Linked DNA regions of Anolis sagrei. The protein of the gene in region 2 purifies or fractionates together with the protein of the main gene of each other region. This does not show direct contact. Links are inferred from orthologs where the notes say so. Each region holds a gene or a part of one and is shown on either strand. Other genes may lie near its edges. The genes, in order: MKLN1, MAEA and RMND5A.

The links.
Region 1: the proteins of MAEA (region 2) and MKLN1 purify together in Homo sapiens (affinity purification with western blotting; 3 studies listed by BioGRID and IntAct, with this or other methods). This does not show direct contact. The link is inferred for Anolis sagrei from reciprocal best matches to the Homo sapiens genes MAEA and MKLN1.
Region 3: the proteins of MAEA (region 2) and RMND5A purify together in Homo sapiens (affinity purification with mass spectrometry; 5 studies listed by BioGRID and IntAct, counting the BioPlex papers as one, with this or other methods). This does not show direct contact. The link is inferred for Anolis sagrei from reciprocal best matches to the Homo sapiens genes MAEA and RMND5A.

Annotation. Positions count from the first base shown.
Region 1 is NC_090025.1:190,750,152-190,760,940, forward strand, and holds the start of MKLN1 (muskelin), read left to right. Parts: upstream 1-6,346; 5' UTR 6,347-6,363; coding exon 6,364-6,500; intron 6,501-10,789. UniProt on the Homo sapiens protein: Component of the CTLH E3 ubiquitin-protein ligase complex that selectively accepts ubiquitin from UBE2H and mediates ubiquitination and subsequent proteasomal degradation of the transcription factor HBP1.
Region 2 is NC_090023.1:143,472,169-143,482,498, forward strand, and holds the start of MAEA (E3 ubiquitin-protein transferase MAEA), read right to left. Parts: upstream 4,509-10,330; 5' UTR 4,285-4,508; coding exon 4,216-4,284; intron 1-4,215.
Region 3 is NC_090026.1:52,495,452-52,506,062, reverse strand, and holds the start of RMND5A (E3 ubiquitin-protein transferase RMND5A), read right to left. Parts: upstream 5,384-10,611; 5' UTR 5,226-5,383; coding exon 5,084-5,225; intron 1-5,083.

The DNA.
Region 1 (10,789 bases), on a different chromosome or scaffold from region 2:
AGCATCTAGCCCCTGTTTAAAAGCTTCCGAAGAAGGAGCATCCATCACACTCTGGGACAGAGAGTTCCACTGCTGAACAGCTCTCACAGTGAGGAAGTTCTTCCCCATGTTCAGGTGGAATCTCCTTTCTTTCCTGTAGTTTGAAGCCATTGTTCTGCATCCTAGTCTCCAGGGCAGCAGAAAACAAGCTTGCTCCCTCCTCTCTATGACTTCCCCTCACATCCTGATCCATTGCCCTCATCATGTCTCCTCTTAGCCGTCTCTTCTGCAGGCTAAACATGCCCAGCTCTTTAAGCCAATCCTCATAGGACTTGTTCTCCAGACCCTTGATCCTTTGAGTTGTCCTCCCCTGGACACATTACAGCTTGTTAACATCTCTCTTCAATTGCAGTGCCTAAAATTGAACACAGTGTGATTCCAGGTGTGGTCTAATCAAGGCAGAATAGAGCATGGGTAGCATGACTTCCCTGGATCTAGACACTAGCCTTCTATTGATGCAGGCCAAAATCCCATTGGCTTTTTTTGCTGCCACATGACATTGTTTGGCTCATGTTTAACTTGTTCCCCACAAGGACTCCAAGATCTTTTTCACACATACTGCTGTTGAGCCAGGCATTCTGTATCTTTGCATTTCATTTTTTCAGCTTAAGTTGAGTATCTTTTCCTTCTTTTCCTTTCTTCCACCCCTTATTACATTCCTATTTCCTTCCTTCCTTTTTGTCCAGTTTTCTGTTTCCCTCCCCTCTTTCCCTCCCTCCCTTCTTTCCCTCCCTGTTTAAGTCATATAATCATGAAGCTGGATGTCCAACCACTGCTCAGGGTAAGAACTCCTAGCGTAAACATCCCTAATGGAGCTGTCCAACATCTTTTTGAAGACATCTAGGGCCCTTCTACACTGCCATATAGAATCCAGATTATCTTCTTTGATAATCTGGATTATATAGCAGTGTGAACTCTTGTAATCCAGTGCAAAGCAGATAATGTGGATTACCAGTCCTGTTTGTCATGCCGTAAGTTTGTCATGCCATAAGTTTGTCATGCCAAAATTTGCCCATGCCTGTTCTAGAAGGAGACTGTTGTACTTTGGAGATGATCTTGATTGTGGAACCTGATGGCCATGTTTGATAATATGTTTGATAATCTGGATCATATGGCAGTGTAGAAAGGGCTCCAGAGAAGGAGACTCACCATATGTCTAGACAATTTGTTCCATTGTCAAACAGTCATAATGTCCAATCAAAAACTGCCCTCTTGTCACTTAAAAACCATTAGATCTGGTCCTGTCTGGGTCCACAGAGATCATGATACTGACACACAGAGGTTGGAAAAAGTTCCCTTTTGGAATGCAGTTCCCAGAAGCTTCCAACGGCATGACAAACAGTACTGGTTCTTCACCAAAAGTCAGCTCCCAGGCTTCCATAGCACTGAGCCATGGTGTCAAACGGCATTCATTCTACAGTGTGGATGCATTCTGGATAAGATTTCAATTTCAAAAAACAAAACCTCACTGACATTGTTCCAAAAGTAAATCGACAACAGAACTACTTCTTTCAGCCCCACCTTGTCACATCCCGGAATCTTCCAGGGACATGTAATTTCACAAAGGGAGGAGAAAAAAAGGAAGAGCATCTTTGTAATCTATTTATTTCCAAAACAACAAGCAAGCTGCTTGTGCAGATAGCACACCCACTAATCTTGCATGAGATAAAATGTGCACTTGTCTGTCTCTTTCGGTTTCTCTGTTCAAGCTTTGTAGAGCTGCTGCTGCTGCTTTGGCTTTCTGTGCCCGCTCCTTCCTTGGCTCATCAGCTGAGTCATGTCTTTAGAGAGATCTCCATCACGAAGGAGACACAAAGCTCTTCCTTGAAATCCCTGGTTGCCTGTCAGCTGCCACAATCAGGATCGTCTCCAAAGCAAAACAGTTTCCTTCTAGAACAGACGTGGGCAAACTTTGGCCCTCCAAGTGTTTTGGACTTCAAATCCCACAATTGGGATTTGAAATCCAAAACACCTGGAGGGCCAGAGTTTGCCCACGCCTGTTCTAGAAGGTGGTTTGGCATCTATTCATTTATGAAACTCTGTTCTTAGTATGTTGAGATGAGATATTGCATATATTTCTCAACTTTTATTTCTCATCTCTCTAATCTATCCAGCCTCTGCTTAAAAGCCTTCTCTGGAGGATTTTAAGCAAAGGCTGGATAGCCATCTGTTGGGAATGCTTTGATTGTGTCTTCCTACTGGAAGAAGAGGGTCAGACTGGATGGCCCTTGAAGTCTCTTCCAATTGTATGAATCCCATTATAGGGTAACTTTAGCATCACCATAAACTACAAATGGCCTGAAGACACACATCACCACCATTGTATCTCAATCTCAATATATTTGAATGACAAAATTAAACTATAGCTCTCAGTATCTTCACTAAAGTAAAAATTAAACTATAGAAGGTTCTCAGTATCTTCACTAAAGTAAAAAACTGATAGAGTACTTGTAATATGGAATAACTAAGCCAGATATGGAGCTCATAGATTATTCTGTATCTGTTGCAATATAGTCTGAGGCTGATAGATTCATCAATTATTTAGAGGGGATAGTGGGATTTCTTGTGGGATTTCCTGGGGCACAAAGTGATGAAGATTCAAGCCAGGGAAATGATGGTTCTCTCTGGGAAAAATCTGACTCAGAAAGTGCAAGACTTCAAGGTCAGTCAGAGGAGCCAGAAACCACAACATTAGACAAGGAGTTGTGTGAAGAGCTAAGTGATATGGTAGGCTCCCAGAGAAAAACACCTGGGGTTACAGAGATCAACAAAAGTCTTCATTTACAGATTAGAGCAGAAAATAGGCAGCACCATTCAGAGCGATTATGTGGGAAAGTTGGGGAAATATTTATGGGGAAAGGAAAGATTTCATGGCTTTCTATTAATTAACAAGTTGTTTACCTAAGGCAGTGGTTCTCAGTCTGTGGGTCCCCAGGTGTTTTGGCCTACAACTCCTAGAAATCTCAGCCAGTTTACCAGCTGTTAGGATTTCTGGGAGTTTAAGGCCAAAAACATCTGGGGAGCCACAGGTTGAGAACCACTGACCTAAGGGTTAGTTCAGGCAACCTAGCATTCGAGTGAGAAGCTAGGCCTGAGTTCTCTGGTTCTTGTTTCAAGTCAAGCCTTGGTTTTGGATTTAAGTATCCTGGAAGTTTTCTATGTTCTTCTTTTTGTATTCCTGCTCAAGTTTACTAAGTATACCTTTTGCTTGTGGACTTATGCTGTACTTGTGGGCTATTCCTGTGTTCCTTTGGGATCTGCATGAGGCATTTGGAACACTGTTTGGTTATCACCTATTGCTAACCCCTTTTTAGGTTATACATCTTCCTTCATTATTCCTGACTTTTCATATATTTTTATGTGTTTTTACAATAAATTGTTTGCTTATGTTGTGGACTCTTGTGTGATGCTGTGGTCTTAGGTGTTTTCAGTCCCGGGCTGCAACAGCATCTGGTTCCAGAACTGGTCTTAGCAAATGTCTTACAGGCATCTGGTATACACATGCTTCACTCCACTCTTCTGTGCCTGGTTTCAATTTGGTTTATGTGCCACCATGCCTTATACTTGCATATTCTGCTGGCTTTAGTCACTGTTTTAGTGCATCATGGCTCTGCTATGTATTTTTCAGAGTCCCTGCATCGTCCAGAGAGTTTTGATTAGTGCCCTGAAAATCAGTTGGCCTGCTTAACCGCTGTGAGAACAGCTTGATTGACTTAATAGAGTCTGCATCTGATTTAACACTTCTCAAAAAGTTCATAACCCAGACTTTTATCTGCAGAAGTGATGGAATAAGCCCAAAGTCCAATTATTTGGTAAATAAAAATGTAATGTTCGTTCGTGGGATTAAAAGAACTTAAAAACTACTGGATGAATTGACACCAAATTTGGACACAAGATACCTAACAACCCAATATATGTCCTTCACTCAAAAAATTGATTTTGTCATTTAGGAGTTGTAGTAGCTGGGATTTATAGTTCACCTACAATCAAAGAGCATTCGGAACCCTACCAACGATGGAATTGAACCAAACTTGGCACACAATTCTCCCATGACCAACAGAAAATACTAGAAGGGCTTGGTGGGCAGTGTCCTTTGGTTTTGGAAGTTGTAGTTCACCTACATCCAGAGAGCACTGTGGACTCAATGATGGATCTGGACCAAACTCTATACGAATACTCAATATGCCCAAACGTCGACGCTGGTGGAGTTTTGGGAAAATAGAATCTTGACATTTGGGAGTTGTAGTTGCTGGGATTTGTAGTTCACCCACAATCACAGAGCATTCTGAACCCCACCAACGATAGAATTGGGCCAAACCTCCCACACAGAACACCCAAGACCACCAGAGTGGGCCACAGCAACGCGTGGCAGGGGATGGCTAGTATAATATATAATAATAATATTGTAATATAGCAATACTAATATATTAAACATAATTAGTTCTGATACTATATAATAATATATAATGATATACTGTTCTATTATTGTATATTTGTATATTTGAAGTTGTAATGTTTTTGATCGTGAGTCTCCGTATGGCAAGATAAAGAAGGATATCATAGAATCATAGAATCATAGAATCAAAGAGTTGGAAGAGACCTCATGGGCCATCCAGTCCAACCCCCTGCCAAGAAGCAGGAATATTGCATTCAAATCACCCCTGACAGATGGCCATACAGCCTCTGCTTAAAAGCTTCCAATGAAGGAGCCTCCACCACACTCCGGGGCAGAGAGTTCCACTGCTGAACGGCTCTCAGAGTCAGGAAGTTCTTCCCAATGTTCAGATGGAATCTCCTCTCTTGTAGTTTGAAGCCATTGTTCCATTGCATCCTAGTCTCCAAGGAAGCAGAAAGCAAGCTTGCTCCCTCCTCCCTGTTGCTTCCTCTCACATATTTGTACATGGCTATCATATCTCCTCTCAGCCTTCTCTTCTTCAGGCTAAACATGCCCAGTTCCCTAAGCCGCTTCTCATAGGGCTTGTTCTCCAGACCCTTGATCATTTTAGTCGCCCTCCTCTGGACACATTCCAGCTTGTCAATATCTCTCTTGAATTGTGGTGCCCAGAATTGGACACAATATTCCAGATGTGGTCTAACCAAAGCAGAATAGAGGGGTAGCATTACTTCCTTAGATCTAGACACTATGCTCCTACTGATGCAGGCCAAAATCCCATTGGCTTTTTTTGCCGCCACATCACATTGTTGGCTCATGTTTAACTTGTTGTCCACGAGGACTCCAAGATCTTTTTCACATGTACTGCTCTCGAACAAAAATAAATAGTTGTGAACAGCCCAACTTGCTAAACTCTTGGCAGTTGGCCACGGTAGTACACGCTTTGGTTACATCCCGCTTAGACTACTGCAACGCTCTCTACGTGGGGTTGCCTTTGAAGACTGCCCGGAAGCTGCAGCAAGTCCAACGTGCGGCAGCCAGATTACTAACGGGAGCAGGGTACAGGGAGCACACCACTCCGCTGTTACGCCACCTCCACTGGCTGCCAATTAGCTTCCGAGCACAATTCAAAGTGCTGGTGTTGACCTATAAAGCCCTAAACGACTCCGGCCCTGTTTACCTCTCCGAACGTATTCTCCCCTACGAACCATCAAGATTATTAAGATCATCTGGAGAGGCCCTGCTCTCGGTCCCACCGGCCTCGCAAGCGCGCCTGGTGGGGACGAGGGACAGGGCCTTCTCGGTGATGGCCCCGCGACTTTGGAACTCTCTCCCTCTGGAGGCCAGAACCGCCCCATCCATCCTAACATTTAGGAAACGGGTGAAGAGGTGGCTGTGGAGTCAGGCCTTCGATGAATGAGACAACACCATAGGACCCTGGATGGAAGTTGATGTAGATCCATCTTAATAGGACGACTGACCACTGTAGTTTTATATATAGTGTTTTTAAAGTTGTTTTTGTAATTTGTGATATATGATATTTTAATGAATGTATATGTTTTTTATGGCTGGAAACCGGGCGGAGTCCCTCAATGAGGTTGAGAAGCTCGGTATAGAAAACTGTGAAATAAATAAAATAAATAAGTTGAATAGCCCTGAGCATCCAAAATGCGCTGCGGGCCCTTTAAGAGCAGCCATTTGCTCCCCTTTGCTCTCCATCCAGTTTCCCTCCCCTCTTTGAAAGAGATAGTTAAAATTTACAAAAACTTCCGGCTCCCAAGCGACGCTCTTTAAAGGTCTTGCGGGTTTATATGTAATCTTGGAATAGGAGGAGGTCAACACAAGGCGATGGGGAACCGGACGTGTCGTCTCGCGCATGCGCAATGCCGACGCTCCGTTGCTTCTCTAGCGGATCCTCTTTTGATGACAAAATGGCGGCGGCAGCGGCGTCGGCGGCGGGCCCTCCCGGTTTAGGCTTCGATTTCGGCCCGAACAGCGCCCTCGAGAGCCGCGCCTTGGCCTACACGTTGCACCGATGGAGCAGCTTCTCCTCCACTTATTTGCCGGAGTGAGTCGAGGGGGAAGGGCCGAGGAGCGAGGAGGAAGTCAGGGGAAGGCCTCGGAAGCCTGCCCCGCCCCCTCCTGAGGGGAGGCCAGGGACTAGGCCTCTAGAGCAGGCCTGGGCCAACTTGGGCCCTCCAGGTGTTTTGGACTCCAACTCCCACCATTCCTAACAGCCTACTACAGTTGCCAGAAGCCCCCAGCCTGCATTTGCAGGCTGGGGGCTTCTGGGAACTGTAGTAGGCTGTTAGGAATGGTGGGAGTTGGAGTCCAAAACACCTGGAGGGCCCAAGTTGGCCCAGTCCTGCTCTAAATTGAATGCACTTTGACACCACTTTGAACTGCCATTCCCCAATGCTGTCCTATCCTAGGACTTACAGTTTGGTGAAGCAACCTTGGGAAACTACATTTCCCAAGATTCCATAGCATTCACCCATAGCAATTAAAGGTGTGTGTGTGTGTCTCGAACCTCATTATTTTCCCAACCAAAAGAGATGCCATAACAAAAAGGAATATTACAGGTGGGGCCTTTTTGTATCAGGAATCTTGGCACCCTAAATTCAGAGTGGCGTTGAACTGCATTAATTCTACAAATAAGACTTTATATGTAACCAAAGGACATTTAACCAACTACCAAACTCACAAGTTTTGTATTTGTCTGTTTGTTCTGTTACAAATGTAATATAATGGACTGGTTGCTCTGACACAACAAATAAATAAATAAATAAATAAAATTTGTAACCCACCCTATCTCCCCAAAGGGACTCAGAGCAGATTTCAACAAACAAACGATAAACATTCAGTGTATTGTATTGTCGAAGGCTTTCATGGCCGGAATCCATGGGTTGTTGTAGGTTTTTCCGGGCTATATGGCCATGTTCTGGAGGCAATTTTTCTCCTGACGTTTCTCCTGCATCTATGGCAAGCATCCTCAGAAGTATGGCAGCGGCCAAACACGAATCAAGGAACATGAAAGGCACTGCAGACCACTTCACCCAGAGAAGTCAGCCATAGCAAAGCACCTGATGAATCAACCTGGACACAGTATATTATTTGAGAACACAGAAATGCTGGACCACTCTCACAACCACCATGTCAGACTACACAGAGAAGCCATTGAAATACACAAGCATGTGGACAATTTCAACAGAAAGGAGGAAACCATGAAAATGAACAAAATCTGACTAGAAGTATTAAAACACTCTAAAATTAGAACAGCACAACAACAGAGAGGAAACAAACAAGGACATCTAATCACCTCTCAACAAAAGATTGCTCCAGGGACTGCCAGGCATTCAAATGCTAATCAAGGTGGTCAGTTAAAATATTCACACCTAGCTCCAACATAGAATCATAGAGTTGGAAGAGACCTCATGGGCCATCCAGTCCAACCCCCTGCCAAGAAGCAGGAATATTGCATTCAAATCACCCCTGACAAATGGCCATCCAGCCTCTGCTTAAAAGCTTCCAAAGAAGGAGCCTCCACCACACTCCGGGGCAGAGAGTTCCACTGCTGAACGGCTCTCACAGTCAGGAAGTTCTTCCTAATGTTCAGATGGAATCTCCTCTCTTGTAGTTTGAAGCCATTGTTCCGCGTCCTAGTCTTCAAGGAAGCAGAAAACAAGCTTGCTCCCTCCTCCCTGTGGCTTCCTCTCACATATTTATACATGGCTATCATATCTCCTCTCAGCCTTCTCTTCTTCAGGCTAAACATGCCCAGTTCCCTAAGCCGCTCCTCATAGGGCTTGTTCTCCAGACCCTTGATCATTTTAGTCGCCCTCCTCTGGACATTTTCCAGCTTGTCAACATCTCTCTTGAATTGTGGTGCCCAGAATTGGACACAATATTCCAGATGTGGTCTAACCAAAGCAGAATAGAGGGGTAGCATTACTTCCTTAGATCTAGACACTATGCTTCTATTGATGCAGGCCAAAATCCCATTGGCTTTTTTTGCCGCCACATCACATTGTTGGCTCATGTTTAACTTGTTGTCCACGAGGACTCCAAGATCTTTTTCACACGTACTGCTCTCGAGCCAGGCGTCCCCCATTCTGTATCTTTGCATTTCATTTTTTCTGCCAAAGTGGAGTATCTTGCATTTGTCACTGTTGAACTTCATTTTGTTAGTTTTGGCCCATCTCTCTAATCTGTCAAGATCGTTTTGAATTCTGCTCCTGTCCTCTGGACTATTGGCTATCCCTCCCAATTTGGTGTCGTCTGCAAACTTGATGATCATGCCTTCTAGCCCTTCATCTAAGTCGTTAATAAAGATGTTGAACAGGACCGGGCCCAGGACGGAACCCTGCGGCACTCCACTTGTCACTTCTTTCCAAGATGAAGAGGAAGCATTAGTGAGCACTCTCTGTGTTCGTCCACTTAACCAATTACAGATCCACCTCACCGTAGTTTTGCCTAGCCCACATTGGACTAGTTTCCTTGCCAGAAGGTCATGGGGGACCTTGTCGAAGGCCTTACTGAAATCCAGGTACGCTACATCCACGGCATTCCCTGCATCTACCCAGCTTGTAGCTCTATCGAAGAAAGAGATCAGATTAGTCTGGCATGACTTGTTTTTGATAAATCCATGTTGACTATTAGCGATGACTGCATTTGTTTCTAAGTGTTTGCAGACCACTTCCTTAACAATCTTTTCCAGAATCTTGCCCGGTATCGACGTGAGGCTGACCGGACGGTAGTTGTTTGGGTCGTCCTTTTTTCCCTTCTTGAAGATTGGGACCACATTGGCCCTCCTCCAATCTGCTGGAACTTCTCCCGTTCTCCAAGAACTCTCAAAGATGGTTGCCAATGGTTCCGAAATGACTTCAGCTAGTTCCTTCAATACTCTGGGGTGTAGTTGATCTGGCCCTGGGGACTTGAACTCATTAAGAGCGGCCAGGTATTCCTGGACGACTTCTTTCCCAATTTGGGGTTGGATGTCCTCCAATCCCTCATCCGCTCCATCTTGCTGAGGTTGAAGACTCTCTTTTTGTGAGAAGACCGAGGCAAAGAAGGCATTAAGTAGTTCTGCCTTTTCCCTATCCCCTGTCAGCATTGCCCCATCTTCTCCTCGAAGAGGTCCTATCGCCTCCTTGTTTTTCCTTTTTCTACTGACATAAGAATAGAAGCCCTTTTTATTGTTTTTAATGTCCCTGGCAAGTCTGAGCTCGTTTTTTGCTTTAGCCTTGCGGACCTTTTCCCTACAGGTGTTGGCTATTTGTTTGAATTCTTCTTTGGTGATTTCTCCCTTTTTCCACTTCTTGTGCATGTCTCTTTTGTGTCTTAGCACAGTTAGAAGTTCTTTGGACATCCATTCTGGCTTCTTTGCACTTGTCCTGCTTTGAACAGACAAGAGTCCTTTGTCCCACCCTGGTCATTCTACAGATATATAAACCTCTTTTTCCTAGTTCCAACAGACCTCACTACCTCTGAGCATGCTTGCCATAGATGCAGGCGAAACGTCAGAAGAAAATGCCTTTAGAACATGGCCATATAGCCCGAAAAAACCTACAACAACCTAATAAGACTTTATTTGTTACCTGACCTATCTCCCCAAAGGGACTCAGAGCAGATTTCAACAAACAAAAGACAAACATTTAATGCCTTGACAAGACCATCAGTTCAAATGTAAATACAATAACAACCCGGCCAAGTCCCAAAATAAACCGACACCTACAATCGAATTGAACTTGCTGCCACAAATTAAATGGTAGCCTAGCCTGTCAAGTAACTTCACTCAATATAAAACATCGACACAGACATTGGTTTACAGAAACACCAAAAGTTCATTAGAAGTAAAATTAATAGTGTAATTATGATATCAACAAGCCAACAACACCTGCAAGACAGAGTAGTAATAGTAATTTAATATGGGAAGAGTTTTTGGTAGTAATTCTACGGTGTAGATCAGGGGTCCTCAAACTTTTTAAACAGAGGGCCAGGTCACAGTCCCTCAAACTGTTGGAGGACCGGATTATAATTTGAAAAAAACATGAATGAATTCCTATGCACACTGCACATATCTTATTTGTAGTGCAAAGAACACTTAAAAACAATACACCAATTAAAATGAAGAACAATTTTAACAAATATAAACTTATTAGTATTTAAGTGGGATGTGTTGGCCTGCTTTTGGCTGATGAGATAGGATTGTTGTTGTTGTGTGCTTTCAGGTAGTTTCAGACTTAGGTTGACCCTGCGCAAGGGCTGGGTAAATGACCTTGGCGGGCCGCATCCAGCCCCCGGGCCTTAGTTTGAGGACCCCTGGTGTAGATGATGATGATAATAATAATAATAATT
Region 2 (10,330 bases):
TCTGGTAGGTTTCCATGGCTGACCAAAGATTTGAATCCTGGTTTCCTAGAGACTTATCCCAACACACCAATCATTATTGCCATTAAAAGTTTGTACTTTATTAATATAATCCTCTCCCTCTTTAATCTAATCTAATAAATCACTCCCCTCTGCTTCAAATCAATTTACGTAGCTCAAAAAGGTTTGCTTTAGATTAGTATTTTTCAAACTGTGCTCCTTCAGATGTTTTGGGATCTCAGAAATCCCAGCTAGTTTAACAGTTATTAAGAATTGTGGGAGCTGGAGTCCAAAACATCTGGAGAAGTAGAGTCTGAGAAATACTGCTCTAGATTGTGTTTGGATTCTCTTTCTGTACTTAGTGACATGAAGAACACTCTTTCAAAGGATTCATATTACATTATATACTTGTGTATAAATCAACCTCATATATAAGTAGAGGGCAAGATTTGGAGTGAAAATTATGAATTTTGCTTGAAGCTGAAGGTAAAACTTTGGGGCATATAACAAATCTGATAGCCTTTAAAATGTATGCAGGAACTATACTTTAAAAGAGCTAAAGAGGAAAGCAACTGTTTGTTGGAAGGGTTACAATTGGGGTATGTTTACATTGCATTATTAATCTACACATACTCCAATTCTATTAATTTGTGCCAACATCTTCACAAATATGGGCAAGGAAAGGAACATAAATTAAGAAAATGAATAAGAACACGGAAAGCAATCTGCTCTCTATTAGGGCATCAGTGCATGAGGCAGTATCAAGAAGTACTCCCACCCCATTATTGCTCCTTGGCAAAACAAAAGAAAGGGCAGTCCTCCCTCCTTACAGACCTTCTCTTTCAACCTGTGGCATCATCAGCAACATGGAAGATCCCAAGCAAGGTGATTTACTTGACATTTTGGGCACCTGAAGTGTAGGGGAGTGATGGTGGCTATATTTTAATGTCTTCTTACATAAGCTTCTCTGTAGTGACTGTAATAGCAATTTTCAATAGGGTCTTACAGACTTTTCAAATGGCTGCCATCATTGCAATCCACCTCAATCCCAAAATGGCAGATGTGCAAAATTCTTCAAGTGCCTCCATATTACTGAGCACTTCTCAGACCAAAAAGGCAAGGGAGGGAGGAGACTCCTTTTTCTCTCTTTGGTTTGAATGAGGGAGGTGTACAGGGTGTGAGTGCTTCTAGCACTGACCACTGTACAAGTTGATCCAAGGTTTGATGAGTGATTTTTTTGTCTATTTTTAGCTTACATGTAAGTATAATATATGGTAAATAGTTTTACCACCTTCTCATAAGTATAATGCAGAAAACACACCTGACACCCTTCTATCATCATACATTGGGCATTTAACTTATATCAATTATCGAATGACCATACAGATACTCCTTTTTTGGGGAAGGTGCTTTTAACACCTAGTGCTCATGAGTGGATTTTCCAATTTTCTAGGTCCATTCCAATCTCATTTACAGCACTTGTTAAAACTGAAAAAGGAGATTATATATCAATGCACATTTTCCTGTATCTTCTTTCAATCCCATCAGTGGTAGGTTCCATTCATATATAGATCCTGCATTCTAGAAAGTAATGCTGAAATATTACTGGTCCATAGCACTCATACTATCAGGTTTAAAAGGGCCTTTTTGTATCCTCCATGCAGTTCTTTGTCACCATAATTTCAGTATCTTCAATCTGCTGTTGAAATAAGATCTTTTCATCAAATTCAGATGGTGCTAAGAAAATGCTAAATAGGCACCTGGAATGAACAAAGTTGGGACAGTGATGTCCAAGATGGATCTGATTTGTAGCTTTGGGATACTGTAAAATCCAGACTGATCTCTAGAGGTCTAAAGCACTAAAAAAAAGAACATTGTTTAATGCACCAGTGTATTCCAATGACTAGACAGTGTGGCCTCAGATGCATCCCATGGAAACATCCTCTCCAGACTGTTTAAGTGAGGCTGTCCTTCAAAACTCTTCAAAATATGGTTGGAATTGCTGTACCAATCATGTTACATCACTGCCTGTGCTTACTAGGGCTAGAAAGCTATATGATTCCCATCTGGAGGTAGAAACTCCAGTGATTACAGAACATGGCAACTAGTTTACTAGCTTGAATTCAGAGCCATAAAAATGAGCTACATTGGCTCTTAAGTCTGTTACCAGATCTAATTCAACAGGCTGTAACTGCTATAACTTTCAAGCCATAAAAGGCCTCCCTAAAGGGTTTCATATACAGCTATCTGCATACTAAGCTGTTCTAGCTGGACATCATAGTCGATCTTTCAGGCATAGTATTGCTGCCAGACTCTGTTCTGCATACTGTAATATATGCATTTGAAGAGCATTATATTTTATTTGCATATTTTAACCATGTTGTGCCCCACTTTGAGCCATAGGGAGGCAGGTAACAAAGACATTTATTTTTATCTAAAGATTGTGTTGTTGAAGGCTTTCATGGCCAGAATCACTGGGTTGCTGTGAGTTTTCCAGACTGCACGGCCATGTTACAAAAGCATTATTTCCTGATGTTCCACCCACATCTATGAGGCGCCCCTGGTGGCACAATGGTTAAACCCTTGTGCCAGCAGGACTGCTAACTGACAGGTCACTGGTTCGAATCTGGGGAGAGTGGGTTGAGCTCCCTCTGTCAGCTCCCCATGAGGGGACATGAGAGAAGCCTTGCAAAAGGATAGTAAATCATCAAACATCTGGGCATCCCCTGGGCAACGTCCTTGCATGCAGATAATTTTCTTATATCAGAAGCCACTTGCAGTTTCTTAAGTCATAGAATCATAGAGTTGGAAGAGACCTCATGGGCTATCCAGTCCAACCCTCTGCCAAGAGGCAAGAAAATTGCATTCAAAACACCCCCCCACAGATGGCCATCCGGTCTCTATTTAAAAGCTTCCAAGGAAAGAGCCTCTACCACACTCCGTGGCAGAGAGTTCCACTGCTGAACGGCTCTCACACTCAGGAAGTTCTTCCTAATGTTCAGATGGAATCTCCTTTCTTGTAGTTTGAAGCCATTGTTCCACATCCTAGTCTCCAGGGCAGCAGAAAACAAGTTCACTCCCTCCTCCCTAGAACTTATTTATACATGGCTATAATGTATCCTCTCAGCCTTCTCTTCTTCAGGCTAAATATGTCCAGCTCTTTAAGCCACTCCTCATAGGGCATGTTCTCCAGACCCTTGATCATTTTAGTCGCCCGTCTCTGGACACATTCCAGCTTGTCAATATCTCTCTTCAATTGTGGTGCCCAGAATTGGACACAATATTCCAGGTGTGGTCTAACCAAAGCGGAATAGAGGGGTAGCATGACATCCCTGGATCTAGACACTATACTCCTATAGATGCAGGCCAAAATCCTAACATGGAAAAAAACAACAACAACACATCTATTGCAGGCATCTTCAGAGGTTGTGTGAACTGGGCCCTTTCTATTGCACTGTAAAATGTGACACTTGTTTTCTAGACAGGCCCTATATTCCAGGATCTGATCCCTGGTTTTCTTCTTTAAACTGGATTATATGAGTCTGCATTTCCAGATAATCTGGGATAAACAGAAAAATTGGGATCAGGTCCTGGGTTAAAGGGCCCTAAGAAAACGAATTTGACACTATCCTTCTTAAACAGTCGAAGTCATTATTTTCAGGCTCTCTGGTTTGCTCATTTGTCTGTTTTAAAAAAAAATGTTTTTGTTTGATGGATGTCAAGCATTTTAACACTAATTTATTTGGAAGCAATTTACAAAAACCATCGACCCATGAGGGCAATAGAGGCCAAAAGGCCTTCCCGTCAAAGCTCCCAAATCACAAAGAGCGGTGTTCAAAAGAAAACCTCAGCAGGTGTTTGACGGAGAAGCGCCAGTGTGACGGGGCGACGACGGAGGGCAGGCGCATCCCCTCCCACCACTGCCACACAATAAAGGAATCTGCAAAGGGCCCGCCCCCGGCCTCCTCTCGCTGCCAACCGCCGCTGAGCCGTGAAATCCTCGGCTGAAGGCCCCGGGGAGCAGCCTCCCGTTTTGTGGCCGCGGGGAAGGAAGGAGGGAAGGGACCGGGCCCCGCCTGGGAGGAAGAGGAAGCCAGGCGGAAGTAGGCCAGCCCTGCCCCCTCCCGGGAGTCGCCCTCGAAGGGAAGGGAAGGGAGAGTGAGAGGCCTGGCCCAGCGCTGGGAGTGAGCGAAGGAGGCCCAGGCGGCAGGCACCCACCTTGAGCGTGGGGTACTCCTGCACCTTCAAAGTCATTGAGAGCTGAGCCGCGGATTCCTGCACCGCCATCTTGGGCACCGGGCGCTGAGGAGGACGCCGCGGCACCACTGCCACCGCCTTCCTCCTCTTCCTCCTCCTCTTCCCTCAGCGGCTCCTTAACGCCAACAGCCCCCTCCCTCCCTTCCTTGCTTGCTGCCTTCCTTCTCCAAAAGCGAAGGGACGCTCTCTAGACAGGCCCCGCGCTGCACTCTGGGTAATGGAGCGCTTCCGCCTCCTCGTCTCAGTCTCCTGACAGACGGCGCTTCGGCCGAATAAAGGCTTCGCTTTCCGCCCCGCCCCCCTGGCCCTCAAGCCCGAATGGTTGGCCAGGAATGGGCGGTCGCGAGGCGAGGCAAGCAACCAATCATATTGTCCTTCTTAGATCTCTTCCCGACCCGGACTCTCTTTTCTTTTATGAGGTGTATATTCTGTGCAAACCACTGAAAGAGTTTGGAACGACAGCGTTGATTGGAGGAGAGGCGAGGGGCCGGGCGGGGTTTAACGAAGGCCAGGAAAATATAACTGACACGACCCGGTGTCAAATGTTGTCAGCGTGCTTTGGCCCAATCGGAGCCGGATGCTCGAAGGGTGGGCGGGACTTACAAACCCAAAGCGGGAGGCGGGAGTTTTGATTTGGTTCTTGGTACAAGCAAGGAAGAGACAGGCAGGCACAGAGAGGTAAAGGTCCAGAATAGGTCTACGTTCAAACTGGATGCAGTGTGGTAGGAAAGCAGAAGCGCGCTTAGATCTGCCTTTGAGTGAGGGGAAGGGCCCCTGGCACCGGCGAGCTAGTTCCCCTTTCCTTTACCTGGCAAAATGGCACTACCTAAAAGAATCCCACACCTTGTGTGACTGTGGAGCAGTGGACAATCTGTATGCTTGTCCATTGCGCCCTGCCTCATATACAGAGGAGGAAGTGTTGGAGGCTACAGGTTCGCAGCTTGGGAGTTCTCCTGGATTCATCACTAAGCCTGGAATCCCAGGTTGCAGCGGTGGCCAGGGGAGCGTTCGCACAATTTAAACTTGTGCACCAGCTGCGCCCGTACCTTGGGAAGTCAGACTTGGCCACGGTGGTCCACGCTCCCGTTACATCTAGGATAGACTACTGCAATGCACTCTACGTTGGGTTGCCTTTGAAGACTGCTCGGAAGCTTCAAATAGTCCAACGACAGGCAGCCAGGTTAATAACTGGGGCCAGCTCCACTGGCTGCCGGTTTGCTACCGGGCACAATTCAATGTGCTGGATTTGGCCTATAAAGCCCTAAACGGCCCCGGTCCAAATTACCTGTCCGAATGCATCTCCCTCTATGAACCATCACGGAGATTAAGATCCTCCGGGGAGGCACTGCTTTCCGTCCCACCATTTTCACAGGCACGATTGGTGGAGACGAGAGACAGGGCCTTCTCGGTGATTGCTCCCTGGCTATGGAACTCCCTTCCTGGTGAGATCAGGTCGGCTCCCTCCCTCCTGTCCTTTAGAAGGATGGTACAAACTTGGCTGTGGGACCAAGCTTTCGGGACAGGGCAATAAAGCGGCAATGGGAAAGATGACAGGGCCAATTGGATTTGACCTGGATGACTAGGATGGTTTTAAATGGTGTATTTTAATATTTTGATTTTTTTTAATGTTTATGTATTTTATGTGAATCTGTGTCCCGGCATTGAATGTTTGCCATGTATATGCTGTGCTCCACCCTGAGTCCCCTTTGGGGTGAGAAAGGCAGACTATAAATGTTTTAAATAAATAAATAATGCCATTGCTGTTGCCCATTTTTGGTCAAAAGATATTTAGCCGCCTTCATACCTTCTATTTTATCAGTTTTATACTAATTTATGCAATGCTTTTGAGACGAAATAAATAAATACTAGCATTGTTGTTGTTTATTCATTCAGTCGCTTCCGACTCTTTGTGACCTCATGGACCAGCCCACGCCAGAGCTCCCTGTCAGCCGTCACCACCCCCAGCTCCTTCAAGGTCAGTCCAGTCACTTCAAGGATGCCATCCATCCATCTTGCCCTTGATTGGCCCCTCTTCCTTTTTTCCTTCCATTTTCCCCACCATCATTGTCTTCTCCAAACTTTCCTTTCGTCTCATGATGTGGCCAAAGTACTTCATCATAGGCCTCTACTATCCTTCCCACCAATGAACAGTTGGGCATTATTTCCTGGACTATGGACTAGTTGGATCTTCTGCTGGTCCAAGGCACTCTCAGCACTTTCCTCCAACACCACAGTACAAAAGCATCTATCTTCCTTCGCTCACCTTCCCTATGGTCCAGCTCTCACATCCATAGGTCACTACGGGGAATACCATTGCTTTTACTATGCAGATCTTGATTGCGGATCTTGGTTACTGGCATTAGGCTCTTGTTTGTTTAAAAGTATGTCTCTGGACCCTTCCACACAGCTTTGAACTGGGTTATTTGAGTCCACACTCAGATTATGTGGGATTTCCTGCCTTGATATTCTGGGATATAAGGCTGTGTCGAAGGGCCCTCTGCGAAGGGCTTTGCTCTCAGCCAAAGAGGGCTGTTCTGTGTCTTCGAGGAGGCTCACTTCTGGTGATCCCGTCATGGGGTTTCTTTGCAACCCTTCCTCTGACGCTAAGAGAGTGTGACTTGTCTAAGGGCCCTTCCGCACAGCCCTATATTCCAGAATATCTGCTTTGAACTGCGTTATCTGTGTCCACACTGCCATATATTCCAATTCAAAGCAGAAAATGTGGGATTTTGTTCAGTTGTGTGGAAGGGGCCTTAGTGCTAGGTTCCTTCTACACAGCTATATGAAATCCACATTATCTGTTTTGAACTGGATTATATGGCAGTGTAGACTAAGATAATCCAGTTCAAATCAGATAATGTGGATTTTCTGCTTTAATAACCTAGATTATCTGGTAGTGTAAAAGGGGCCTTACTTTTCATTCCTATCTTCTAACACTTTCTTAGAAGTGAAAATAGTCAAAGACAATGGTGATCTTCAGCAGCAAAAAGCAGGTCCCATCACTCTGATTAGAATATTCAAAATACAGCTGTAGCCTTTCTTGAACAACTTCTGAGCTCCTGAGCATTTTCTTTCATGCAAAGCTCCTGGTGGTGCAATGGGTTAAACCAGTAGTTCTCAACGTGTGGGTCCCCAGATATTTTGGCCTTCAGCTCCCAGAAATCCAAAACAGCTGGCAAATTGGCTGGGATTCCTGGGAGTTGTATGCCAAAACACCTGCGGACTCCCAGGTTGAAAACCACTGGATTAAACCCTTGTGCCAGCAGGACTGCCAACTGAAAGGTTGGGGTTTTTTATCCAGGGAATGGGGTGAGTTCCCGTCTGTCAGCTCCAACTTCCCATGTGGGGACATGAGCAAAGCCTCCCACAGGATGGTAAAAGATCCAGGCATCCCCTGGGCAATGTCCTTGCAGATGGGCAATTCTCTCACACCAGAAGCGACTTGCAGTTTCTCAAGTCACTCCTCGCATGAAAAAAAAAGCCGCAGCAGAAGGAGACAGGAAGCAAATTTTATCCTCTCAGCTCTTGTTTCTTTTCTCCTAAAATTGTTTATATTCCAGGTGGTCCTTACAGGATGGGAACTGCTGTTTTACTTTAAGTATTGATGCCAGAGGTTGCTGCTTTCTATTCCTCCCTCCCAAACACCCCCCCCCCCTTTTCTTATCTGCTGCCTGGTTTGGATTGTCAGTCTTGTTTTGTGCTCTGTATTTAAGCCACTGTTTAATCATTTGTGCCTCAGTAGCATGGAATTGCTTAAAACTAAATAGAAAAATATGCAGATGTGTTTATGGCCTTTCAGCTGAGTAATGGCATTGTCTTATTCCTTGGTTCTTCAAGTTATATACATGTGTGAATGCAGTTTGATGCATTGTGTGAAAGAATGTGATGGGATGCATCTGCCCATAATATGCTCTGAGGAACTTCTTTCCAAGCAGATGTGTTGCTGCTCACAGGTCAGTGAAATTGTTACATCTGCTTTGCCTTTAGTCTGAAATTTAAAGAACCACATTTTGGGGATGCAGTTCAGCACCTTGGATAGCTTTTTGGGGCTTCAGAGAAACACCTGGAATGGATTCATTGCTCCATTGTTAGGGATTACACCTGTCAACACTGAATTAATTAACTTTTGCAATTCACTGTGAGAGGAGAGAGGCCATGTAGTAATTGGAAGGCCAGTAGCCAAGAAGCAATGGGATGTGTTAGTTACTGAGGAAACCAACAATGGTCAAACCTCACCTGGAATCACACTGTGTCCATTTCTGGGCACCACAATTTAAGAGAGATATTGACAAGCTAGAATATGTCCATGGGAGAGTGACTAAAATGGTCAAAGGTTTGGATACCAAATACTATGAAGAACATCTTAAGGAGCCGAGCATTTTTAGCCTGCAGAAGAGAAGGGTGAGAAGAGACATGATAGCAATGTTTAAATATTTGAAATGATGCCATAAAGTAGAGGGAGTGGGCTTGTTTTCTGCTGCTATGGAAACTAGGACTCGGAGCAATGGGTTCAAATTACAGGAAAGGAGATTCCGCATAAGTATTAGGAAGAACTTTCTGACCATAAGAGCTGTTCAGCAGTGGAACTCTCTGTCTTGGAGTGTGACGGGGGCTCCTTCTTTGAAGGCTTTTAAACATACTGTATGGCCATCTGTAAGGGGTACTTTGATTGTGCTTTTCCTGCACAGCAAGGCATTGGACTGGATGGCCCGTGTGGACTCTTCCAACTCTATGATTCAATTGATTCTATGCCCAAAAAGTAGTCATTGTATAGTTCCCAGGGTCCAGGAAGCAGGGTGAATTCTCCAAGTTGACTTGGTGTCTCTTTCAATGGATGGGAGACCAGCAGGTGACTGCTGTCTGCTGCCTACCTTATCTAGGCAGCTGTTCCTTCAGAGCTGACGCACCAAAGCTGCAAATGCACCAGCCCTGCCCCAAACACTCTTACAGTGCTCCTGTCTCAGAGGAAAGTCATGACATTATCTGTTAGAAGCATATTTTATGCCTTCATATTTATATTTATAAATATATGGATTTTTTAATCTCCTTTCCAGACAAAAAACTATGAGAAATAGAAAAGTGAGAACAATTCTGAACAAATTTTCTTAATCTGTAAAAGTGCATTAAAATGGCATCTTCAAGGAATATTAAAAAGAAGATGCTAAGTCAGCATTGCACTGAACTGATTGAGCATAGGTGTTTTCTCTCTGGCGTAAGTAAGTGCCTCCCTGCTGGCAGGTTCTCTTCTGACAGCTTATCTCGAATATCTGATAGAGTACTTTGCCAGCAGAGCTGCTCTGCTGGTTAAGATTTCTAGATCCCAAAAGGGGCACTAAAGGAAGAGAGAGATGTTGGAGGAGCTTATTCAAGTCAGATCAAAAACTTCTCAAGCCCAAGGCAGAGCCAAGCGGCATTTCTGACTTACCACAATACAACAGCAAACTTATCACAGGGGTTTCTTGGCAAAATTTGTTCAGAGGGGATGTTCATTTTCCTTCATTTGAGGATAAGATAGTATGATTTCCCAAGGTCATGTGTTGTGTTTCCACACCATTCTAGGGAAAGGTTTCACTAACTACAGCTTGAAAGGAATGTGTGGGAGGAGGCCTGATATGGAGAAGCTAGTTTTACACAAGGGATGCTTCTGAGGCTGCTACGTTTGATGTTTGTTTGCATACTTCCAATAGTTCTTACATGGTTGTCCCAGAAAGGGTAGTCAGGTTGTGTCAGCTCTGCCTGACTAATTGTTATGGGACATCAAATAGGTCCACTAATTGTTTCTCCCTCTTTGTGAACTTTTCCTGGCCAGCTCTTCCTGAACTGCTTGTTACTCCCACAACCTCTCCTCACTGGGACTGATTACCCAGTGTGGGCAAGTAGCTTCTGTCCTTTCTGGCTTGGCTGGATCTCTTGCCTCCTCCTGATTGGTAGAGAAGGTTTTCTTATTTTTTTCAAATTTCAGCTGGCATCCTAACCAATTCTACAGTAGTGAATTCCTTCAGCTTCCTACAAACAAATAGACTGAGACTGAATCCAGAAATCAAGAGGCACGGTAGATAGATTCCAGTTGTTCTGG
Region 3 (10,611 bases), on a different chromosome or scaffold from region 2:
CAGAATTTGTGAGAAGAAGCTGAAGCCAGTGAGTCATATCCTGGCAAATTACATGATATATCTATTTAACACTATGTGATTTGCCACATTTATTTCTGATGCTTTTCTCCCTTCTACTTTCTTGTTTGTTTTGTTTCGTTTTGAAGAGAGAGCAATACAGCCCTCTCCACTAGCTTCCAAATGTGATAAAACACATGTTTCACATCACTGATCATTTCTATAATGCCAATAGGAACACAAGGAGAGACACCGATGTTACAGCTCTTATAAGTGCCACTGTAATAAGCCATTGATATAAATAACAAAGCGTTTGAAGAGGAACAGTTTAGTAAGTTACCTCGTAGAAAGCTAAGGTCATATTAAACCAAATACTACTCTGAGAAGTGCAAGAGAAAGAGAGCATCTCCCCATTTGCATTTTGTGGATTATCTGCCTTGATTTTCTGGGTTATATGGCTGTGTGGACCCTGTGATTTTTGCCTTCCTGGGTTATGGAGATCCTCAGGCAATCCTATCATTGCAAGATTTGTTCAGACAAGGTTTGCTTTTGCCTTTCTCTAAGAGAATTTGACTTCTTCAAGGCCATCCAATGGGTTTCTGTGACCACCAGCAGCATCAGTCCAATGCTCAAAGAACTACAACACGCTAACCGTGAAGCCCGTGTTTATGTGAACCGTCCAAGGACCCTACAAGATTTGAAAACCAACATCCAGGAAGAAATTGCCAACATAATGCCTGCTATGCTGGCAAGAGTCATGACAAACGCCAGAAATCGGTTTATTCAGTGTATGGAGAATGGGGGACGTCCCCTACCTAATTTGATCTTCAAAACTACGTAAAACAAAACTTTAGGTATGTGCCTGTTGTTCAGTTGTTTCCGAATATTTGTGACTTCATGGACCAGTCCATGCCAGAGCTCCCTGTCGATCATCACCACCCCCAGCTCCTTCAATCCAGTCACTTCAAGGATACCATCCATCCATCTTGCCCTTGGTTGGCCCCTCTTCTTTTTTCCTTCCATTTCCCCCAGCATCATTGTCTTCTCTGAGCTTTCCTGTCTTCTCATTATGTGGCCAAAGTACTTCATCTTGGCCTCTACTATTCTTCCCTCCAATGAGCAGTCAGGCTATATTTCCTGAAGTATGGACTGGTTGGATCTTCTTGCAGTCCAAGGCACTCTCAGCACTTTCCTCCAACACCACAGTTCAAAAGCATCTATCTTCCGTAGGTTACTACGGGGAATACCATTGCTTTGACTATGCGGATCTTTGCTGCCAGTGTGATGTCTCTAATCTTCACTATTTTATCAAGATTTGTCATTGCTCTCCTCCCAAGAAGTGTCTCCTGATCAGAGACGGCCCTTGGTAATTTTCAACGGTAAGCAAATAGTATTTTGGTACGCCCCCCGCCAATCACTGATATATATTTTCTGTTCGTCGTGGGAGTTCTGTGTGCCATATTTGGTTCAATTCCATCATTGGTGGAGTTCAGAATGCTCTCTGATTGTAGGTGAACTATACATCCCAGTAACTACAACTCGCATATGTCAAGGTCTATTTTCCCGGAAGGGCATCTCAAGAGCGCCTCTGGGCAAAATCAACTATACTGCGAATGCTTACTTTGTGTAATGGTTGAGCCCCCCCTGCTCCTGATTTCCTGGCTGCAGTCTGCGTCTGCATTATATAATGCGCTTACATTATTTAAAAAATCCTGATTCATACAATGGGTTTTATTAAGTTTTGAAAAAAGGAAGTTATGCTGCTGCACCCTGTATTTATATGTCTCTGTTTTTATGATTTTAATGCATTATGTATTTTGTATGTTTTATGTTTTAATGGGGCACTGAACTGTTGACAATTAGGAAGCTGCTCCGAGTCCCCGTCGGGGCTGAGATAGAGCGGAGTAAAAATACAATAAATCTATATAAATAAAAATGTAATGTTTGATTGTGGGATTAACAGAACCCAAAAACCACCGGACGAATTGACACCAAATTTGGACACAAGACACCTAACAACCCAATGTATGTCCTTCACTCATAAAAATTGATTTTGTCATTTGGGAGTTGTAGTTGCTGGGATTTATAGTTCACCTACAATCAAAGAACATTCTGAACCCCACCAACGATGGAATTGAACCAAACTTGGCACACGGTTCTCCCATGTTCAAAAGAAAATACTGGAAGGGTTTGGTGGGCAGTGTCCTTTGGTTTTGAAGTTGTAGTTCACCTACATTCAGAGATCACTGTGGACTCAAACAATGATTGATCTGGACCAAGCTCTACACCAGGGGTCCTCAAACTACGGCCCGGGGGCCGAATACGGCCCTCCAAGGTCATTTACCTCATTCAGGGTCAACCTAAGTCTGAAACGACTTGAAAGCACACAACCACAACAACAACAACAATCCTATCTCATCAGCCAATAACAGGCCCACGCTTCCTAATGAAATACTAATAGGTTTATATTTGTTAAAATTGTTCTTCATTTTAATTATTGTATTGTTCTAAAGCAGGGGTCCCCAAACTTTTTAAACAGAGGGCCAGGTCATAGTCCCTCAAACTGTTGGAGGGCCGGATTATAATTTGAAAAAACATGAATGACTTCCTATGCATACTGCACATATCTTATTTGTAGTGCAAAAAAACAATTAGAAACCAATACAATAATTAAAATGAACAATCTTAACAAATATAAACTTATTAGTATTTCAATGGGAAGTGTGGGCCAGCTTTTGGTTGATGAAATAGGATTGTTGTTGTTGTGTGCTTTCAAGTCGTTTCAGACTTAGGTTGACCCTCAGCGAGGGCTGGGTAAATGACCTTGGAGGGCCGCATCTGGCCCCCGGGCCTTAGTTTGAGGACCCCTGTTCTAAAGTGTTTTTTGCACTACAAATAAGATACGTGCAGTGTGCATAGGAATTCATTCTTTTTTTCCAAATTATAATCCGGCCATCCACAGTCTGAGGGACTGTGACCTGGCCCTCTGTTTTAAAAGTTCGTGGATCCCTGCTCTACACGAATACTCAATATGCCCAAATGTGAACACTGGTGGAGTTTGGGGAAAATAGAATCTTGACATTTGGGAGTTCTAGCTGCTGGGATTTATAGTCCACCTTCAATCACAGAGCATTCTGAACCCCACCAACAATAGAATTGGGCCAAACTTCCCACACAGAACCCCGATGTGGGCCGCCACAGCAATGCGTGGCAGGGGATGGCTAGTAAATAGTAAAAATGATGCTGGGCTTTAAAATGTCCTCTGACCTTTCCCCCTAACCGCACAGCCACAAGTGTTGTTGGGTTGCAATTCCCATTCTCCTCAGTCTGTATGGCGGACAATGTAAAGCAGTGGTTCTCAACCTTCCTAATGGCGTGACCCCTTAATCCAGTCCCCCATGTTCTGGTGACCCTCAACCATAATATTGTTTTCATTGCTACTTCATAAGTCATTTTACTACTGTTATCAATCATAATGTAAATATCTGATATGCAGGATGCATTTTCATTCACTGGACCAAACTGGGCACAAATACCCAATACACCCAAATGTGAATGCTAGTGGGGTTGGGCGAGGATTGATTTTGTAATTTGGTAGTTGTAGTTGCTAGGATTTATAGTTCACTTATAATCAAAGAACATTCCGAACTCCACCAGCGATGGATTTGAACCAAACTTGACTCCCATGACCAATGAATAACATTGGAAGGGTTTGATAGAGATACAGAATGGGGGATGCCTGGCTCGAGAGCAGTACGTGTGAAAAAGATCTTGGAGTCCTTGTGGACAACAAGTTAAACATGAGCCAACAATGTGATGTGGCGGCAAAAAAAGCCAATGGGATTTTGGCCTGCATCAATAGGAGCATAGTGTCTAGATCTAAGGAAGTAATGCTACCCCTCTATTCCGCTTTGGTTAGACCACACCTGGAATATTGTGTCCAATTCTGGGCCCCACAATTGAAGAGAGATATTGACAAGCTGGAATGTATCCAGAGGAGAGCGACTAAAATGATAAAAGGTCTGGAGAACAAGCCCTAGGAGGAACGGCTTAAGGAGCTGGGCATGTTTAGCCTGAAGAAGAGAAGGCTGAGAGGGGATATGATAGCCATGTATAAATATGTGAGAGGAAGCCACAGGGAGGAGGGAGCAAGCTTGTTTTCTACTTCCCTGGAGACTGGGACGCGGAACAATGGCTTCAAACTACAAGAGAGGAGATTCCATCTGAAGATGAGGAAGAACTTCCTGACTGTGAGAGCCGTTCAGCAGTGGAACTCTCTGCCCCAGAGTGTGGTGGAGGCTCCTTCTTTGGAAGCTTTTAAACAGAGGCTGGATGGCCATCTGTCGGGGGTTATTTGAATGCGATGTTCCTGCTTCTTGGCAGGGGGTTGGACTGGATGGCCAATGAGGTCTCTTCCAACTCTTAGATTCTATGATTCTATGATGGGCATTGACCTTGAATTTGGGAGTTGTAGTTCACCTATATCCAGAGAGCACTGTGGACTCATGCAATGGTGGATCTGGACCAAACTTGGCATGAATACTCAATATGCCCAAATGTGAACACTGGTGGAGTCCGGGGAAAATAGATCTTGACATTTGGGAGTTGTAGTTGCTGGGATTTATAGTTCATTTCAATCAAAGAACATTCTGAACTCCATCAACCATAGAATTGGCTCAAACTTCCCACATGGAATCCCCATGACCATCAGAAAATACTGTGTTTTCTTATGGTCTTTGGCGACCCCTCTGACACCCCCTCGCGACCCCCTCAGGGGTCCCGACCCCCAGGTTGAGAAACACTGATGTAAAGGGATGGGAATTAGCCTTCAAAAACACCTGGGGACGCAAACTGGGTCAAAACTAAAGAGAACTGACCACTATGGACAAAAAGTATAGTCTAGTTGAGGGCCCTTTGAAGGCTGATGCAAACGAGCCATAAGTGAAGTTTCCTTCCCGCCAACCTCTCTTCAAAGACACGTTGACCAAGTGAAGCGCAAACGCCGGGCTCCCAGGAGAGACTGACCACAGGTAGGCCTCGTTGCCAAGGGCAACCGGAGGGGGGGAGGAGGGGAGGGGGCACCTACTCTCGCTTTGGAGGATCTCGCGGCGCAGTCCGGCCACGTACTGGATCAGCTCCTCCAGGCTCCGCTCGCAGAGCTGCCCGTAGCCCGAGAACTTCTGCAGCACCTTCTCCAGCTCGCGCTCCACCGTCACGCACTGGTCCATGGCCACTTTTTCCCGCCGCTCCGGCCCACGGAGCTCCCGCAAACAGACCCCGAGGCCAACCCGGGCTGGTGGTGGGGGTTGTTTTTGCAGGCAGCGCAATAGACGAGCGGGGTCCTTTCCCGAGCAGGGCTGGCGCTGCGTCACAGGCGGCGCCGAAAAACAACCCCGAGTTCCTCAGCCGTGCTGTTTGATTGGACGCTGACTCATAGATCTAGGAAGTTGTAGAGAAACGCATTGCTTAGCTCACAGAGAATGCTTCCGGGTGTATTTGGAGTATTTTTCCCACTGCTTATGGGCACTGTTTATGGAACGAGAGACCAAATTGCCAATATTCACTGAATAATGGAGAAAGGAAGGGAGTTTCAGAAAAACATCTATTTCTGTTTTATTGGCTATTCTAAAGCCTTTGACTATGTGGATCATAATACATTTGTGACAAGTTCTTGGTGGTATGGGCATACCGAATCACCTTGTCTCTCTCCTGAGGAATCTGTATAATTTATTATTATCAATTTAAAACATTTATATTCTGCCCTTCTCACCCCAAAGGGGACTCAGAGTGGAGCACAGCATATACATGGCAAACATTCAATGCCTGGATACAATACATAAACATTAAAAAACATTTATCTAAATATCATTTATCTAAATATTAAAATCTCCAGCAAAGGATCACCGCCTTGCCGGGGCGCTGGAGCTTGAGTGCCTTGGACTGCGAGAAGATCCAACCAGTCCATCCTCCAGGAAATAAAGCCCGACTGCTCACTGGAGGGAAAGATACTAGAGACAAAGTTGAAGTACTTTGGCCACATCATGAGGAGACAGGAAAGCCTAGAGAAGACAATTATGTTGGGGAAAGTGGAAGGCAAAAGGAAGAGGGGCCGACCAAGGGCAAGATGGATGGATGGCATCCTTGAAGTGACTGGACTGACCTTGAGGGGGTGGTAACGGCCGACAGGGAGCTCTGGCGTGGGCTGGTCCATGAGGTCACGAAGAGTCGGAGACGACTGAACGAATGAACATCAACAAATATTAAAATACACCATTTAAAATAACACATTTTAAAACCGTCCTAGCCATCCGCATCAAATCCAACTGGCCCTGTCATCTTTCCCATTGTTGCTTCATTGCCCTGTCCCGAAAGCTTGGTCCCACAGCCAAGTTTTTACCATCCTTCTAAAGGACAGGAGGGAGGGGGCTGACCTGATCTCACAAGGAAGGGAGTTCCATTGGCGGGGGAGCTATCACCGAGAAGGCCCTGTCTCTCGTCCCCACCAATCACGCCTGTGACAATGGCGGGATGGAAAGCAGGGCCTCCCCGAAGGATCTTATTCTCCGCGATGGTACATAGAGGGAGATTCGTTTGGACAGGTAATTTGGGCCGGGGACGTTTATAAGGACCAAGTAGCAACAATACGAACTGACCATGGTACGGCAGGGTTGTATACTCTCACCCAACCTATTCAACTTATAGCAAGAACATATCATGCAATGTGCGGGGCTTGAGGAATGCAAGGCTGGGGTTAAAATTGCTGGAAGAAACATTAACCTTACTTTCGAAGGCTTTCATGGCCGGAATCACGAGGTTGTTGTAGGTCTTTTCGGGATGTATGGCCATGTTCTAGAGCAGGGGTCCTCAAACTAAGGCCCGGGTGTCGAATACGGCCCTCCAAGGTCATTTACCCGGCCCTCGCTCAGGGTCAACCTAAGTCTGAAATGACCTGAAAGCACACAACAACAATCCTATCTCATCAGCCAAAAGCTGGCCCACACTTCCCATTGAAATACTAATAAGTTTATATTTGTTAAAATTGTTCTTCATTTTAATTATTGTATTGTTTGGTGTGGCTTGTTGGTGCCTGGGGGCAATCTTTTGTTGAGAGGTGATATTGTTTTCCCTCTGTTGTTTTGCAGTGGTAATTTTAGAGTTTTTTTAATACTGGTAGCCAGATTTAGTTCAAGGAGGAAACCATGAAAATGAACAAAATCTGGCTACCAGTATTAAAAAACACTAAAATTACAACAGCAAAACAATAAAGGGAAGCAATCAGGGACATCTAATCACCTCTCAACAAAAGATTGCCCCGGGCACCAACAAGCCACACCAAACAACTGCCAGGCCATCAAATGCTAATCAAGGTGGTCAGTTGAAACATTCACACCTAGCTCCAACAGACAAGAGTTCTTTGTCCCACCCTGCTCATTCCACATATATATAAACACATTTTCCTAGTTACAAAAGACCTCACTATCTCTGAGGATGCTTGCCATAGATGCAGGCAAAACGTCAGGAGAGAATGCCTCTAGAACATGGCCATATAGCCCGAAAAACCTACAACAACCCATTAACAACCTTAGATATGCAGATGATAACACTTTGATAGCCAGAAGAGAAGAGGAGCTGAGGAGCCTTCTAATCAAGGTGAAAAAAGAAAGCGCAAAAGCTGGGTTGCAGCTAAACATTAAAAAAACGATTATGGCAACAAGCATGATTGACAACTGGGAAATAGAGGGAGAAAACGTGGGGGCAGTGGCAGACTTTGTATTTCTAAGTGCAAATATTACTGCAGATGCAGACTGTAGCCAGGAAATCAGAAGACATTTACTTCTTGGGAGGAGAGCAATGTCCAATCTCAATAAAATAGTAAAGAGTAGAGACATCACACTGGCAACGAAGATCCGCATAGTTAAAGCAATGGTATTCCCTGTAGTAACCTACGGATGTGAGAGCTGGACCTTAGGGAAGGCTGAGCGAAGGAAGATCGATGCTTTTGAGCTGTGGTGTTGGAGGAAAGTTCTGAGAGTGCCTTGGACTGCGAGAAGATCCAACCAGTCCATCCTCCAGGAAATAAAGCCCGACTGCTCATTGGAGGGAAGGATACTAGAGACAAAGTTGATGTACTCTGGCCACATCATGAGGAGACAGCAAAGCTTAGAGAAGACAATTATGCCTGGGAAAGTGGAAGGCAAAAGGAAGAGGGGCCGACCAAGAGCAAGATGGATGCATGGCATCTTTGAAGTGATTGGGCTGACCTTGAAGGAGCTGGGGGTGGTGACGGCCGACAGGGAGCTCTAGCGTGGGCTGGTCCATGAGGTCACAAAGAGTCGGAGATGACTGAACGAATGAACAACAACAACAATTTTTGCAGTTTTGTATTCATTTTATTGTAATTGTATTATTGGCATGTGGACAATTTCAACAGAAAGGAGGAAACCATGAAAATGAACACAATCTGGCTACTAGTATTAAAAAACTCTAAAATTGAAACAGCACAACAACAGAGAGGAAGCAGGCAGGGACATCTAATTACCTCTCAACAAAAGTTTGCTCGAGGCACAGTCAGCCCATTGTATGCTAATCAAGGTGGTTAGTTGAAACATTCACACCTAGCTCCAGCAGACAAGTGTCCTTCGTCTCACCCTGGTCATTCCACACAGATATAAACCCCTTTTCCTAGTTCCAACAGACCTCACTACCTCTGATTTATTATTATTTATTTCGAGGTTTTATATACCAACCCTCTCACCTTCAAAGAGGGATTCGGACCGGTTCACAACATGTGTTAACATACAAAAAATATACAATAACAACACAATGCCACTTCATTACACGATTAAAATATCAGCACCATACACATTAAAACATTATCTGAGGATGCTTGCCATAGATGCAGGCGAAACGTCAGGAGAGAATGCCTCTAGACCATGGCCATGCAGCCCGAAAAAACCTACAACCCATTTTATTGTAATTGTATTATTGGGCTTGGCCTCATGTAAGCCGTCCCTTTGGGGAGATGGTGGCGGGGTATAAATAAATATTATTATTATTATTATTATACTGACACAAAAGCACAGTATGTCACAGCAAACGAGATCTATATGCTGGATTTCGTATCTCAAAATCACAAGTCGAACACTTTCCAAGCATCTAGGACTGTGTGATGTATTGCCGAATGATGCACGCAGATCCAAGTAAGGTGGCCTTTTGCAGTTGAAAGATCGTGATTTTGTCGATGTTAATTGTTTCCAAATGCCGTCTGAGATCTTTTGGCATGGCACCCAGTGCGCCAGTGACCACTGGGACCACCCGTACTGGTTTATGCCAGAGCCTTTGCAGTTCAATATTGAGGTCCTGATAACGGATGAGGTTTTCCTCAATGCAACTGTCACCTGGTATGGCCACATCAATAATCTAGAAGTCCAAAACACCCGGAGGGCAGAAGTTTGCCCATATCAGGGAAATCCCAAAGTGTAGGATAATTTCAGTTGGAAAGTCCTTTCAATGAACCCAAAAGTGGAGAACTGTGTGTGAATCTACACTTCAGTCTATTGTTCTACACTAGATAAACACATCTCTGCGTATTCAAGTCAGGCATTAACTCAGGCACCTAAGACTGGCCTCCAATTGGAGTCCCTCATTGCCTGCCCATTTCGGACTTTTTGCGTCAAGAGCTTTGACAGACAGTGTGGGAAAAAGGGGGGGGGGGGTGTTGTTTGTTTATATGTGAGGTCTAATGAGTAAACACAGGCTGGAAAGCGGAAGTGACTCCTCGGGGTCTTCCCGCCATTGGTTTAACTTCCGTCGCTTGCTGGCTAGCGATAGAAAAACAGCTTGTGGGCCTCACAATTGAAAAAGCGGATACTCGACCTCAACTTCTGATCTTCTCACATAGCCATATAACCCATAATATCAAGGCAGAAAATCCCACAATGTCTGTTTTGAACAAGGTTATCTGAGTCCACAGTACCATATAATCGAGTTCAATGTGGATTATATATAGGCCCAAATTTACACAAATAGAATCGGAAGAGATCTCATGAGCCATCCAGTCCAACCCCCTGCCAAGAAGCAGGAAAATTGCATTTAAATCACCCCTGACAGATGGCCATCCAGCCTCTGTTTAAAAGCTTCCAAAGAAGGAGCCTCCACCACACTCCAGGGCAGGGAGTTCCACTGCTAAACAGGTCTCACAGTTAAGATGTTCTTCCTAATGTTCAGATGGAATCTCCTTTCTTGTAGTTTGAAGCCATTGTCTGCATCCTAGTCTCCAAGGAAGTAGAAAACAAGCTTGCTCCCTCCTCCCTATGATTTCCTCTCACATTTTATTTATTTATCGTGTCATCAGCAACCATTGTATTACAATTCTAACAGAGCAAAACAAACACACAGATTAAAAAGAAAAAGGAAAAAGAAAAAGGAGAAAAAAAACCACACAGATTTTGCAAATTTGGTATTTGGTTAAATGTTCTTTGACCAGTATCTGGCCACTTGGAGTGCCTCTGGGGTTGCCGCAAGAAGGTCCTCCATTGTGCATGTGGCAGGGCACAGGGTGCATTGCAGCAGGTGGTCAGTGGTTTGTTCTTCTCCGCACTCACATGCCGAGGA